3 linked regions of the Arabidopsis thaliana genome follow. The protein of the gene in region 3 interacts with the protein of the main gene of each other region in a pairwise test. Each region holds a gene or a part of one and is shown on either strand. Other genes may lie near its edges.

Region 1 (7,259 bases), 1.9 Mb from region 3:
AAAACAGAGTGTTTTTATTTTATTTTATTTTAATTACTACTCCGACATGAATTAACTGTGTAAAAATAAAAAATAAAAAATAACAGAATTTGCGTGCTGATATGATTTTGACATGAAAGATTCCCACATGGTGTCACACAATAAACAAAATTCAATGTTATTATATAAGTGGAGTTACACTTGTGCTTTCGACATTTCCATTAATTATTTATCCCAATATGGACTTATGCCTACGGTGCGATATCTAATACTTTCTCTAACCATTTGTGGGATATGCACCAAAACTCGAATTTGGGAATGCTATTTTTTTAGCAAGACAGACGTGATACGAAATATGTCACCGCTTTAAGAAAGAAATTCCGATATCTATATATTAACCATGGAATTAAAAATATAGTCTAGCCATACCAAAAAAAGAAACTCAAGTACTCGAACTCAAAGCTGTTGAACCAAAAAAACGGTTATGTGTCGATTTCATCGGTTTTCTAGATTATCCCCCACATAAACCTAATTAACATTTTGAGCACTTGACTTCTGAACCGTCCTCCTACCTTTCACACGTTCCAAACCACAACTCCCGCTCGTGCGAACTCTCATCTTTTATTGTTTATTTGATACACCAAACAAAAAAAATGCACACCGAATTTCATTACATTATCCTTCAAGCCATTCATAGTTACATCGTACTCGACCCTCAAGTAGTAAAATTTAATTTATGATCACAAGATCGATGGCCGGAAAAAATAGTTTGAATATATACTTTTTCTAGCCTTTGCATTATTTTGCATGAGTATTATTACTTCGGCCATGCTAATTGTTAGAAAATACAGCTTACATTTTATTTAACACTGTATTGGTATATATGTATGTGGGATATATTATGTTATCATTAGAAAATGCTAATTAATATGTAACTAATTTGTCATTTCCCTGAAAAGTCGATTGGAAGGGATAATTAACTTGTGGTTAGAACTTAAAATCAATTGATTATATGAGATTAATTTGTTGTGGTGTTGTGATTACGACCAGTCGTACGGAGTTTTAGAGAGTCATATTCTCGCATAAAGTAAGTAAATTCAATTTTGATGTAGTAGAAAAAAAAAATTAACAAACGTTAAGAAGATTTTTTTTTTTTTTATGAAGTTTTTTATTTACGAAGATCTTTTAGGGTATTCCAGGTTAAGATAATAGAGATATGCTACATTTAAAATAAATGTGTAGACTTTAAATTATGCTGATGAGGACTGGGGAGCTATGCACCAACAATGACCAGTTACGTAAATATGGACTTAATTGACCCTATCTGCGAGTCAGTCCAGTGAAATCAGAAGAATGACAGATGAGGGTATTATGGGAAATATAAATATGGCAGTATTTTAAATATTATATATGTTTTTTTTTTTTGTCACGATAGTATTACTAAAATTTATGGTGGTGGTTCGTATCATTGAGATATGACCTTGTACTCACTTAAAAAAAAAAAAAAAAAATTACGAAAATAAACATCTTCAAATTGTTAATGGCAGAAGACATTTACGTGAAAAAAAGACGCATCTTAGAAATTTCTATCCTTCAATCCTACTATTAACCTTTTCAACTAAATCTTTCATAAGAAACCATAGTTTAAAAAATCACCGATTTTTTTTTTGCACGAGCAGCTTTATATATATATAGGAAACCAACTAATAAAGAAGATTGGTGGGCTAAAAAGGGTGACGAAGAAGAAAGAAGAGTGACCTCTCTCTCGCATATTTTTCTTTCCGATATATATATCTTTTATAATATTTGTGAATTCTGAATAAACTCTTAGTAAGAAAGAAAAGGAGAGTCCAGAAAAAGAAAGCGAGAAAGAGAGAGAGAAAACGATACCTAAGCTCAATTATCTTCTCTGCAACAAACTCCAAAGGTATTATCTTCTTATGCTCTCTCTTTGCATACATACATATATATAGATACCTACATATATATATCTCTATGTCTTTGTTCATCATCAGTTATATAGGTGATGTAGATAGATGGACAAAAAAACAGCGTAAGACCTAGTTTCTGACTTACATATGTTTTAAATTCTTTGTCTGAATCATTACAGGATCCGAGAGAGAGAGCTCTGGAACGATATTAACATATATCATGAAGAAAAAGATTGAAGTATTGATATGGGAATAACTAAAACTTCTCCTAATACTACAATTCTCTTGAAGACTTTTCACAATAATTCTATGTCCCAAGATTATCATCATCATCATCATCATAATCAACACCAAGGAGGTATCTTCAACTTCTCTAATGGATTCGACCGATCAGATTCTCCCAATTTAACAACTCAGCAGAAGCAAGAGCATCAAAGGGTAGAGATGGACGAGGAATCTTCAGTCGCCGGAGGTAGGATTCCGGTCTACGAATCAGCCGGTATGTTATCCGAAATGTTTAATTTCCCCGGAAGCAGCGGTGGAGGAAGAGATCTCGACCTCGGCCAATCTTTCCGGTCAAATAGGCAGTTGCTTGAGGAGCAACATCAGAATATTCCGGCTATGAATGCTACGGATTCAGCCACCGCCACCGCAGCCGCCATGCAGTTATTCTTGATGAATCCACCGCCACCGCAACAACCACCGTCTCCGTCATCCACAACTTCCCCAAGGAGCCACCACAATTCTTCAACTCTTCACATGTTACTTCCAAGTCCATCCACCAACACAACTCACCATCAGAACTACACTAATCATATGTCTATGCATCAGCTTCCACATCAGCATCACCAGCAGATATCGACGTGGCAGTCTTCTCCCGATCATCATCATCATCATCACAACAGCCAAACGGAGATTGGGACCGTCCACGTGGAAAACAGCGGAGGACACGGAGGACAAGGCTTGTCCTTATCTCTCTCATCGTCTTTAGAGGCTGCAGCAAAAGCGGAAGAGTATAGAAACATTTACTACGGAGCCAATTCTTCTAACGCATCACCTCATCATCAATACAATCAATTCAAGACTCTTCTTGCTAATTCTTCTCAACATCACCATCAAGTATTAAACCAATTCCGATCATCTCCGGCTGCTTCTTCCTCTTCCATGGCAGCGGTCAATATCTTAAGAAACTCGAGGTACACAACGGCCGCGCAAGAGTTGTTGGAAGAGTTTTGTAGTGTTGGAAGAGGATTTTTGAAGAAGAACAAACTTGGGAACAGCTCAAACCCTAATACTTGCGGTGGTGATGGTGGTGGCAGCTCTCCTTCGTCGGCCGGAGCAAACAAGGAGCATCCTCCTTTATCGGCGTCTGATCGGATTGAGCATCAAAGAAGGAAAGTGAAACTACTCACCATGCTTGAAGAGGTATGTTCATATTAACTTTTAATATTGATTTTGACTTTGTCTATACTCTACAGTGATATTAGTTCATACATTTTACGTAAAATTGTTTTCGTTACATTTCGATAAGATTCATAAATTGATCCAAGAGTTATGACAAAGAAACAAGAAACCTGATATGACTGAATTGGTCTTTTGTTTTCTCGATTAACTACTTATTTTTGATTATTTTGGTAGAGTTTGATTGCGCAATCCTACCATCATTTGTTTAAAATTAAAATTAATTTAATCATTTTGCTCGTGTGACGGTCGTATTAGAAAGTATATTGAATATTTTGATGCTTAGCGTTTGGTGGAATCGATTAATCAAAGAAAATGCATTAAATAATTACGATTAATTATGTAATTGGCGTTTCCTTCTCCATATAAGCTACTCTCCAGTTACGTCCTAAAGCTAACCCTTGACGTTACTTATTTGTTTACCCATAATTGAATTATCTACTTTTTAGTTGACCTTGCTTTTTTCTCACTAGAAATAAATATTTTAGTTTATGCTCGAGGATACGATAAAATGTGCTGTTGGTAGGATTGCGCAAACATTGAAGTATATTCTCTGGTCAATAATTTGTCTATATAATATCTTATTTTCTTATTTTGTCTCGTTTAAAGGTAACTAATTAATCTCATTAGTTTATTTATTAGATGATGCTCGTACACAAGCATAGGTTCCCGTGATAAAATCTACACTAAATAATAATCACGTGAACATATAACACAACACACACGAGTTAACAATAACATTAATTAAAAGAAAAAGGCAAATATTGATATTTATGGATTGTATAATGTATAGTTTTGTTTCGTTGGCAGGTGGACCGACGGTACAACCATTACTGCGAGCAAATGCAGATGGTTGTGAACTCTTTCGACATAGTAATGGGCCACGGTGCGGCATTACCGTACACCGCATTGGCTCAAAAAGCTATGTCAAGACATTTTAGATGCCTTAAAGATGCAGTTGCGGCTCAGCTTAAGCAGAGTTGCGAACTTCTTGGGGACAAAGATGCAGCGGGAATCTCTTCTTCCGGGTTAACAAAAGGTGAAACTCCGCGTTTGCGTTTGCTAGAGCAAAGTTTGCGTCAGAACCGTGCGTTTCATCAAATGGGTATGATGGAACAAGAAGCTTGGCGGCCACAACGCGGTTTGCCTGAACGCTCCGTCAATATACTTAGAGCTTGGCTCTTCGAACATTTCCTTCACCCGTAAGTCAATTTTTTCTTTCTTTCTCGTTATTTATTAATTATTATAGAGAAACTGAATTTTGAAAAAAGCTGAGAAAAAGTATTTATTTTCTCGTTATTTCACCTCTACTTTCTTTAGTACTATGTCTCTAGAATTTTGCTATTTTATTGTTAACGAGAGTGAACGAAAAAATGGAAATAAAGCAAAAGAGTAGTGTTTTTGTACTATTTTCACCTCTCTGACAAATTGCTTTAAGAGTAAAACAAAACAAAAAAAGCCAAGTAAAAAAAAAAAAACTGGATCGATGATATGTAATCATCAACTTTTCTTTTGTCTGTTAGATTCTCACGCCCTTGTTAGGAAAAAGTCTGTACTTTTTCTTGCGTCTACTTGATTGTATTGTATATAGTGAAAAGATAAAGAAAATAAATTACATTGAGTTTATTAGGGCAAAGATAGAGAGTGATGTCATTTTCTGGTCTCTTTCTCAGGTATCCAAGTGATGCAGATAAACACCTATTGGCTCGACAGACTGGTTTATCCAGAAATCAGGTCAGTCTACATATATACATATAGCCAACGATATAATGAAATTTAAAATCTCCATGAATCAAATACATATGCCTCTACTTCACCAAGTTGTGTTAGCTGAGTATACTCTTAATCAGACAATCAAATGACCACAGTCTGGATTACGAATTCTTAACCGCGTGTTTTAAAGATTTGTTTTAAACCCATCATTCTATGTTTATAAATAAACTCCACAATAGTACACAGTTATATATATAACTACAATATTAATTTATCACCCAAACCCATTTCATAATTTTCATAAACATATACATGCTTGTTATAAACATCAAATAATAAATACTAGTAGTTACTCAAAACGAATTTGACTAAGCCAAAATTATTTGACACCATGTACGAGTACACTAACTAGTAGCCTGAGATGACTCTATTGCATGGTTTTTGTTTCTTATCTTTGTTTGGTTTGTGATATGACAGAGGAACACCATGTGTTTTGCCTTCCACTCACCATTAGCTTTTCTTGGGATTCGTCTTTAAATTATTATAGCATATTTATATATACAAAAACATAGGAGAGAGAGAAAGAGATCGACATTAAAGACGCAAAAGGGTCCATTTTTCCTCAAGTACATCAAAGTTTGCAGCTTTCAATTGTCCCAAAGAAACCCTCAATTTCTTGTATCCCTACATTAAATAACCAAATGACAAATAAACAAAAAGAGCCCTCAATTTTATTTCGATATTATAATGATTCAACTAGTGAAAATTTTGTCTCTTTTATTCAGGTATCAAATTGGTTCATAAATGCTAGGGTTCGTTTATGGAAACCAATGGTGGAAGAAATGTACCAACAAGAATCAAAAGAAAGAGAAAGAGAAGAGGAATTAGAAGAGAACGAAGAAGATCAAGAAACAAAAAACAGCAACGACGACAAGAGCACAAAATCCAACAACAATGAAAGCAACTTCACTGCCGTTCGGACCACTTCACAAACTCCAACGACAACCGCACCAGACGCATCAGACGCAGACGCAGCAGTAGCGACAGGCCACCGTCTAAGATCCAACATTAATGCTTACGAAAACGACGCTTCATCACTTCTACTCCCTTCCTCTTATTCCAACGCCGCCGCTCCTGCCGCTGTTTCTGACGACTTGAATTCTCGTTACGGTGGCTCAGACGCGTTTTCCGCCGTTGCCACGTGTCAACAAAGTGTAGGTGGGTTCGATGATGCTGACATGGATGGTGTTAACGTTATAAGGTTTGGGACAAACCCTACTGGTGACGTGTCTCTCACGCTTGGTTTACGCCACGCTGGAAACATGCCTGACAAAGACGCTTCTTTCTGCGTTAGAGAGTTTGGGGGTTTTTAGTTTGCTTTTGTCACTCCATTTAATTAATTAATTATAGTTTCCATTCTTACTTATTTTAATTGAAAATCTATTTTTGTCTCTTAAAAGTCAAAACAATACATTAGTCTAGCCCTCCTCTGCTTTTTTTTTTCTATCTCGTGAAGAGAAGAAAACGATACGTAAATCCCTTCGAAAACTAATGTACGTTGTACGACTTATTGTTTTCATATATCTGTATTCTTGGTTATTTAATTTCTCGAGATTTCTTTAATTGTTCAAAATGAAAACCTTCACTTTATAACATAACAGTCCCAAATCGTTCGAAATCACTGATTTACAATCATATAGATTCACTTACCATGAATCCATGATACAAGCTTGAAGAGGTGACCCAATTGTTTGGGCCATCAATAAGGAAAGTGATAGGCCCAAAATTCTTTTATTGGGCTTTAGCGTATCTGTTTTTGTATAGATATCACACAAGTTTCTATAGATGTGTTCAGTGTTCATGCAGTTTTTTATAAATTTCTCACCGACATTTCTAGATATGACTAAAATGAATTTATGAACATGCGGCTTAAACCTTATTTTATCAGATCACTTAGTTAACATCTAGAGCAGGTGAAAACAAGAAGAAAAACAAATGTTGTTTTTGAGGTGCATAATGAAAATTGATGAGAAGAAGATTGAGGAGAAGTAGAAGAAACCGACTTTTGTTATGTTGTTAGTTGGATGAAGGAGTGAAAACCAATGGCTCTTAAGAAATATATCATTTTATTATATTTCTCTTAATACATAAAACAAGCAAACAATCTTTCTTTGA
Region 2 (3,577 bases), on a different chromosome or scaffold from region 3:
ACAAAGAGCCTTTAGGTTCTTAAAACTCTCTCTCTGCTTTTCCTCTTTAACCATATACTCTTCTGTGTCAGTGTTAGTTTCTCTCTCTAGCGATTTATGTTATTCAGGCTCCATTTTCATGTTTCCTGCTTCATTACTCATTAGGACTGGAACCCATTTCTACTCCGTACTTGATGGGTTTCTGACTTGTCTCCGTGTGGCTTCTTGTCACTACACTTTTGGCCTTTTCTTGACTCTTTTTTTTTTCTTTTGACATTTTCGCTCTTGTTACATAAGTCGTTACCATGACTAAACTCCATCAATCCTAATCTAATCCAAGGTTTATCACTACATGAAACTAATATAATAAAACTCTTTGGATTTGTATATTGTTTCTGAAAATATCACATAAACATTTAGCAGCACATACTGTTTCACATTTTAATTCTAAAATTGAATTATTATCATCCATGAGGCATGTATTGAATAAGTATGTTTTAGTTACTGATTTTTAAATTACTGAATAAGTATGTTCTATTACCTTCACAAACCATAACCAGAGACGAAAAGGAAGCGAGTGATTTATATGTCTTTATCACGTTATTCAGACAACACAAAAACTGGTCTTGCAAAGAAAATCTCCACGGCTACATCAAACTCTTTAAAAGAACTACAATTAACCAGAGATTTAAAGCTTTTGATCATAGTTCATTCTACTTCGATGCAAATGTAGAGTTTATGACTTCAAGCCAGACTTGAACGAAAACCTTGATAATGAGATCATGATACTCCTTGGGATTCAAGGTAAGGTAACATACTAGAAGATCCTCCATGTCGTTAGAGGTTCTGATGTTGTTCTCTGCTATCATCTCCACCATTGATTCTCTGAAATCCTTGCTCGGATCGATAGAACTCTTGATTACTGCAAAACTGTCAAGAATTTGTTTGTTCTGTGATCTTGATTTGCTTCTACGAGGCGAGACTTGAATTCTAGGAGATCTCGCTCTGAGCTTTATCCTTGGAGATTTAGCTGATGATCTTCTTCCACTAGAAACTAATGTTTTCTGATGTTTCTTCTTGGTTCGACATGCATCTTCCTCTTCATCTTCTTTCTCTTTACTGACCTTCACAGAGAGATGATGAGGTATATGTGTTTCCTTGGTTCGGTTACTTGCACGACAGGCTTTCTCCGTTGAATCAAACTTCGTGATCTCTTTGAAAGTTTTCTTCTTGAAATCTCTATTATTCATGTCGATGATAATATCATCTTCAGAAGAAATGACTTTCAAGTTGGAAGAGGCAGAGAGAGAATCATGGCTTTGATGAAATGTTTTGTTAAAACCTGCAGATACAATAGAAGAGGAAGGAGGAGAAGGCTTGTAAACAGTCTTTCTTTTGCTCTGTATGTTGTGAAGAGAGTTTCTTGGTGAAATTTGAAGGATCCTAGATTCAAAGGATGTGCGTGAGCGTGACCTATTGAAGAAGTAAGAAGTTGAAGAGTAAGGAAGAGACTTTGACTCAGAGGAAGGTTTTCTCTTCTTGGTAGTGTTTATGGAGTAAAGAGGAAGAGAATGCTTTTTTCTAGGTTTTGTCATGTTCTTGAGCTTGTGGAACCATTCACTTGGGCTCATAACTGACAATCTTAACTTATAGTTCCTCATCTCTAATTTCAAAAAATAAGTGATCTTCTCAGATAAAAGAGAGAAAAAAAATATGTATAGTTTGCAGAGTTTCTATGTGACAAATAAAAGAGAGAAGAAAGTGTAGAATTGGGATGTAAAAGGGACAAGACGGAACAAAATTGGGATCCACTTCATAGAATGTCTTTGTTTGTACCAAACTCATTCCGGCTTCTCTCCCTAACCGAATAACCAAGTTAAACCAAATCAAATCAAATTTAAATAAAATATCCTATCTAAACCGGTGTAATCGAAATAATTGAGGTGTACGTAGATGAGATTGAGAATTAAAAGGTTTTATTAGACTTGAAAATTGAGCAACAAAGTGTCCTCAAAAATTGTCTGTCGGTAGTAGGTCGATTGGTGGGTATCAATTAGACTAAATAGAATATTTCTGGTAAATTGCTTCCAAAACATAATTCGGCGAACGTGACAAAGGGTTTCAACAAAAGAGGTTAAACAAGATTTCAGGTTCATGTCCAATCTCTTAATATAGCCATAGTCATAGTATATAACAATAATGGTGTAGAAGAAACTGTAGAGAATAATAAAAGACATATTTGCATAAAACTCGGCGTGTCGTCTCCTTTTCACCAATTAGCTTGTGGTCTCCCTACCTCACACGTGTGTGTTTGACCAAAGCTTTTTTTTTTTGGGTCAACGACTCATATTTGAAGCTAGGGTTCGACAAACGAGCGGGGTCAGTCACAACCCTAACGACTACTACTGATCCCAGTAAACACCGATATATTTACCCACTCCTCCTACTCATAATGTGACAATATCTAGGTCAGATTATAGCTTAAAATTAAATTTGCAAAAAACATTCAAATTAAGGCTCAAGTTCATGGGACTCCACCATCACGACTTCGTGTCAAAGGAAAAGACGTGAAACCCACGTAACTCGAACCACCCTCCCAAACCTACACATTATACCACAACAACAACAACAAAGAATAAATCAGCTTCGGAAGGATCGAGAATGAGACTGAAGTCAAGTTTGATTAGCTTGAAATCAAAGCTTTCAAAATCATGCAACAGATTCATCTCCTTCTTCCATGCTCGTTTTCGCAATGTCAATACCACACAATCTTCATCATCTTCTTTGTTGTCTCGTCTCTGTTTTCTCAATACTAATAAGGAGCAGAGGATGAGCCAGATCAGACCCAGAAATTCCCCGTGTAACAACAATTTCTTTTGTAACTATTGTCGATTTTATAGAGTACCTTTGATCTAAATTTTATTCTACAAATATGCCACTGCAGCTAGTCTGATCGATGATTCCAAGCTTCTGCATTCAAGAAAGATGTTTCCTTTGGCTATGACGCAAAGGAACAAGAAAGCGAGGACGAGTCAAAGACATATGTTAAAGGAAGATGGTGTGAAAGAGGCTTGCAGAAGATTCGAGAACTATATGATCCATATGTTCGTTGAAGATGGGAAAATAGATGACTTGATGGACATGGAAGAGCTTCTCTATTATTGGAAGAATCTTAATAGTCCAATCTTCATTGATCTTGTGACTAGATTCTATGGAGAGCTCTGCACTGACCTGTTTCCAAGCGACCATGACGATTAAAGATCATTGAAATGGGTTTTATAATATATGCATGATAACACAGAGCATTGGATACAGAGTAGCTTTCTCTGTGTTCTGTTTTTTTTTTGTAAGTTGTACAACTTCAAGTGACAGGAACTTGATTTTACTACATTAAATCACGGAAATAAAAGATAATAAGAAAAGATTATTAAAGGATGGTACATTTCACATTTCTATTTACCAAGATTTCCGGTAAACCCCAGAATTCAAAAGATGAGAAATCTCAAGGTTTGGTTGCTTCTTCCCTCACCAATGGTAGTAGGCATTATTTCTCCGGAAAATAATCAAGGGGGAGCCTCGTCGTCTTCATAGGTATTAT
Region 3 (4,921 bases):
GATGCTCGAGACGGTAGCGTTTTGTGGGTTGAAAGTTGAAACGAGTAAAATGATCTTGTCGGAGAGATTGGTATCACGTGATCTTTAAAAGAGTGATGACGATAGATGACAATGCCCATGACACGGAATAATCATGATGTGGCATCAAATCCTCACTATAAAAATTCTTTCCCAATTATATATTTGAGATTTTTTAATTTTATGCTCTATTTGGTTTCTTCGATATATTTTTCTTACTTGTTTGAAATTTCTGTTGTGGGAAAAGAAACTTTTTACCGGTATGTTAAAATAAGATCTTGGGTATTGATTATAAAAGTAAAACAGTTGTCGTTATCTTCAGCCATTTAATAGTTGACTAATCAAATGCGTTTTTGTTTTGCAGGTTTTTCCCACAAACGAAATCACCAGTTGTTTCTCCAAGAGATTGAAGAAGAGGAAGGTAAATATAAAGTCTCCTTTTTGAATTTCAAGTACACACTCCAAAATTCAAATTTTATTGAGCTGATGGTTTTTTATTCTTTTAATATTTGGCAGTCATCTTTTGAGCTTAAAAATGAAGAGAACTTGAAGTTGAAGGAGAGACTTGACCTTGAAAAGGTAGATTTTCGTTGCTATTCTCTGTTTTATTATCATGGTTTTCATTGTATTCTTAAAAAAACCCAATATTTTTCCACAGGAGATTGCAAGTCTCCGAGCAACATTCGATGAACAAAACCTTAGGAACCAAAAGCTGAAGAGGATTAAGGTAACATTTAGATTCTCCCTAACCATCTTTACAGTAATCAGATATTCCAGATCCCTTCTCTCTATTTGCTGGTCTCATCGACTCTTGTGTTTTCTTGTTTCAGCTTGACTTAAACTCAGGCCGTGTCACAAACAAGAAACCTGTTGATTTGATTCGTAAATCACAACTCGAGCGGCTACAGGGATCAAAATCTTGCAAAACCAGTGACTCGCAAAATCAGGGGAGTTTCTTCGTCCTCCCTGATCTCAACATGGCGCCATCCGAGGAAGAGATATTGTACGGAACTAGCTAAAAACTGGCCTATATGAAGATTTGCGATCGAATTATAGTGAAGGGAAGAAGGGAGCTAGAGATGTCAACTAAGAAAAGTGAATGTAATAAGTGGTGTAATGAAACTCTCCCGTCACATTCTGGTTTTCCGTTTCCTTCTTTTTTTGGGGTAAAATGCTCAATTACTTCTTGATTTTTTCTTAGGAAGAGGGTGAAAATTAGGTTTTTACTTTTTACTCCCTCCCTCCCTCCCTCTCTGTTTTCTTTAATTTGATGTGTTAGAAGAAAAAATTTGTTTTAAATAGATGGTGTTATCAATTTTTAATGCAAAATTAACTACTTTTTTTTTTCTTTCTTTCTCTTTGTACCGATTTAAAAGCTTTTGTTGGAAATTGTAAAGAGGAAAAAGTAGGACAACTAATAGACTTTTTATGTTCCAAACATTTTCTTCTTCACTATTCTCCATACATTATTATATTAAAACCCTAGTTTCCGCTCAACTAATCCAAGACAAGAAGATCTATCAATCTCTTTGGACATTCATTTTTCTACTATTTAATTTGAATTTTTATAATATAAACTTGGGAGGTGTAATGCTATTGGTGGGTTGTCGGCGTGTTCATGGAAAAAGATTCGTTTTTAAATGCCCAATAAATTTGAGAAAAAATTGCCAACTTGTTTATGAGCTTATTTTCTTTTTCATGGATCCCAAGTCTTTTGTGTATAGAGATTAAAAAAAAATGACATTCCTTCATGTAAAAAAGAAAAAAATATCTGGGTTTTAAAAATATCTACAATGAGTTTAATGGTAAATATACTTATCATAATTTGGAGAATAAAGACCTAAAGAAGAAAATTACACTCTAGAACAGAAGTTTTGTAAGCAAATCATTGCTCACAAAACTTGTGAATTACAGAATTACAGGCTCTTGTAGGTTGAGTTATTTTATGCTTCATTTTGGTTACAGGCTTTATGTTGACATTAAAACAAAGAGATTGAAGTAGAGTCCAAAAAAAAAAAAAATATATATAAATATAAAATTCAAGATTAATTAAAAAATATTGGTCTTCAGAGAGATAAATAACTAGGGGAAAGAGAAAACAGTCTTCTCTTCTCCGATCCCAAAAACGCAGGAAAACAATGTCGTTTAACAGCTCCCACCTCCTTCCTCCACAAGAAGACCTTCCTCTCCGACACTTCACCGATCAATCACAGCAACCTCCGCCGCAGCGTCACTTCTCTGAAACACCTTCGCTTGTCACCGCCAGTTTCCTCAACCTCCCTACCACCCTTACCACTGCGGATTCCGATCTCGCTCCTCCGCACCGCAACGGAGACAATTCCGTTGCTGATACAAACCCACGCTGGCTCTCCTTTCATTCGGAGATGCAAAATACTGGAGAAGTACGTTCTGAAGTTATCGACGGAGTCAACGCCGATGGTGAAACGATACTCGGCGTTGTAGGAGGTGAAGATTGGCGGAGTGCTAGCTATAAGGCGGCGATTTTAAGACATCCGATGTACGAGCAGCTTCTTGCGGCTCACGTGGCTTGCCTTAGGGTTGCGACTCCCGTTGACCAGATTCCGAGGATCGATGCTCAGCTCAGTCAGTTGCATACCGTCGCCGCGAAATACTCCACTCTTGGTGTGGTTGTTGACAACAAGGAACTTGATCATTTCATGGTAAGTTTCACTTTCTAATTTTGCAAAATTTTAATGTTTTGAACTGTGAACGATTCAGCCATTTATTTCTCTTTGATTATCTGAGTATAGCAAATTCACATTTTTGTGTGGCTCATTGTTCCCGCTTCTCGAGTCTTGCAATCGATATGATCTTTGCTTCTACTTTTTTGGTTAGCTTGTAATTCGAATTATGAACTTTGTCTGACTCAAATAAGTTATATTTGTTGCATAAAGCTTCTTCTTTGATGACTAATAGTTTGTCTGATTCTTGCTGAAAAGGACTTTGCATGTCCAAGAGAAAGAAAGCATAATCTATTTTTTGTAACGTTCTGTTTGTATGTCTTATGGATTGGAATCTTACCTTTGATTATTATGTTGATGCAGTCACATTATGTTGTCTTGTTATGTTCATTTAAAGAACAACTCCAACACCACGTTTGTGTCCATGCAATGGAAGCCATTACGGCTTGTTGGGAGATTGAACAATCACTGCAATCCCTAACTGGTAACGTCCCAAATCATTTTTTTTTTTTGTTATTGTCTTCTTGCTTTATGTGTGTCTTGGTTTTATCGGTTTTTCTTTGTTCTGGTTTGTAGGAGTTTCTCCAAGTGAAAGTAATGGTAAGACAATGTCGGATGATGAAGATGATAATCAAGTAGAGAGCGAGGTGAACATGTTTGATGGAAGTTTGGACGGTTCAGATTGCTTGATGGGGTTTGGTCCTCTTGTTCCAACCGAGAGAGAGAGATCTTTGATGGAACGTGTGAAGAAAGAACTGAAGCATGAGCTTAAACAGGTAATTGCTTGATCAAGCTGCAATGGTACATCAAACTATACAAAACACATTGTTAAATCATGTTGCTCGGTTTCTTTTTTCCCCTGTAGGGTTTCAAAGAGAAGATTGTGGACATAAGAGAAGAGATAATGAGGAAGAGAAGGGCGGGAAAGTTGCCAGGAGATACGACTTCTGTACTCAAAGAATGGTGGCGAACTCACTCGAAATGGCCATACCCAACTGTAAACACCTTGGCCGAGAAGTTTTGTTACCACATTGTCAAAAGCAAGGTTTTAATTCGTGATTTGGTTTTGGAATTGCAGGAGGAAGATAAGGCAAAACTGGTTCAAGAAACCGGTTTGCAGTTGAAACAGATCAACAATTGGTTCATCAACCAGAGGAAAAGAAACTGGAACAGCAACTCTTCCACGTCATCTACTCTCACCAAGAACAAACGTAAACGGTAAAACAAGATCCGTTCTCTTTTTCAAATTGCGCAATTTCATTAAACCAACCCGGTCAAGATCTTCTTTTGTAACCAAACTCAGGACCGGGAAGTCGTAGGTGACATAGCGGCTAACTAGAGGATGGTTCTTTGCCATGTGAATTCTTGGGAACCGTATATGAAAGAAACGAATCCGGTTCTATGCTCGTACAGAGTGTGTTATTTGTATAGTGGATACCGGTTAGCCTATGAAACCGGATTCTGGAGTCCAAATTGTTGTTTGTAACGACTTAGTAGTTTTTGGAAGTGATCTGTTTCGTTGGTTTGCGTCTTGTAACGAACGCTTAAGCAAGTGTGGGTTTTTTCTTGTAAAGTGTCAATATGTTCGTTTGTAATGAATGTATCAAGCAATATTTATCATAATTAAACTAGCTTGAAATGTAGTATTACGATGTTGTTGTGTTCGTCTGATTTCTCTCACCGGTTGATGCATGGTTACGTTCGGCTCGGTTTTTATATGGTTCAATTTTTAATATATCGATAATTTTAAATGATTTCACTTGTATTATTAACAAAGCCCATTGGTATTTGGCCCAAAATCTGAATGCCGACTTAATGACTTGTTTCTTCTTCCTTCAGCTTCTCCAACGAACGGCTTTTGTTTTAGTTTTTTTTGCTTACCTTTCTCTCGACTTGGTCTACTTTTGTTACTCTTTGAGTTGGGTGATTATGGCAGCAGCACCACAGGAGGAACGATCTCCGTCGCTTGACGATTGCCTTAAGCTATTGAAAGGGGAGAGAGACGAGCAGAGGCTCGCCGGTCTACTTCTCGTCACCAAATTCTGTAAGAACGATGACATCGTTTCTCTCAACAAGGTCTACGAAGCCGTTGGTACTCACTTTCTCGACCGTCTTTTCCGTACTGGTAATCAAAACCCCGAATTATTGATCTTTGTCTCAGTAAATACTAATATCAATTTTGGGGTTTCTACAAAGTGTGA

The links.
Region 1: the proteins of KNAT5 (region 3) and BLH2 interact in a two-hybrid assay, tested with the Arabidopsis thaliana proteins (one large-scale study listed by BioGRID).
Region 2: the proteins of KNAT5 (region 3) and OFP4 interact in a two-hybrid assay, tested with the Arabidopsis thaliana proteins (one large-scale study listed by BioGRID).

Annotation. Positions count from the first base shown.
Region 1 is NC_003075.7:17,367,267-17,374,525, forward strand, and holds BLH2 (BEL1-like homeodomain 2), read left to right. Parts: upstream 1-1,648; 5' UTR 1,649-1,906; intron 1,907-1,912; exon of another isoform or gene 1,913-2,089; 5' UTR 2,090-2,156; coding exon 2,157-3,335; intron 3,336-4,181; coding exon 4,182-4,573; intron 4,574-5,044; coding exon 5,045-5,105; coding exon of another isoform or gene 5,106-5,129; exon of another isoform or gene 5,130-5,561; coding exon of another isoform or gene 5,562-5,621; exon of another isoform or gene 5,622-5,869; coding exon 5,870-6,457; 3' UTR 6,458-6,745; downstream 6,746-7,259. UniProt on the Arabidopsis thaliana protein: Transcription factor that establishes leaf shape by repressing growth in specific subdomains of the leaf. Negatively regulates knox homeobox gene KNAT1/BP expression.
Region 2 is NC_003070.9:2,124,162-2,127,738, forward strand, and holds OFP4 (ovate family protein 4), read right to left. Parts: upstream 1,742-3,577; 5' UTR 1,641-1,741; coding exon 693-1,640; 3' UTR 515-692; downstream 1-514. Other genes in the region: AT1G06923 (transcription repressor OFP17-like protein), read left to right, coding at 2,641-2,839, 2,924-3,237; AT1G06925 (endonuclease/glycosyl hydrolase), read right to left, coding at 3,543-3,577.
Region 3 is NC_003075.7:15,491,971-15,496,891, forward strand, and holds KNAT5 (homeobox protein knotted-1-like 5), read left to right. Parts: upstream 1-2,018; 5' UTR 2,019-2,156; coding exon 2,157-2,699; intron 2,700-3,083; coding exon 3,084-3,204; intron 3,205-3,296; coding exon 3,297-3,496; intron 3,497-3,585; coding exon 3,586-3,717; intron 3,718-3,798; coding exon 3,799-3,938; coding exon of another isoform or gene 3,939-3,942; exon of another isoform or gene 3,943-4,023; coding exon 4,024-4,039; 3' UTR 4,040-4,411; downstream 4,412-4,921. Other genes in the region: AT4G32030 (uncharacterized protein), read left to right, coding at 383-439, 535-597, 677-745, 849-1,037; AT4G32050 (neurochondrin family protein), read left to right, coding at 4,650-4,845.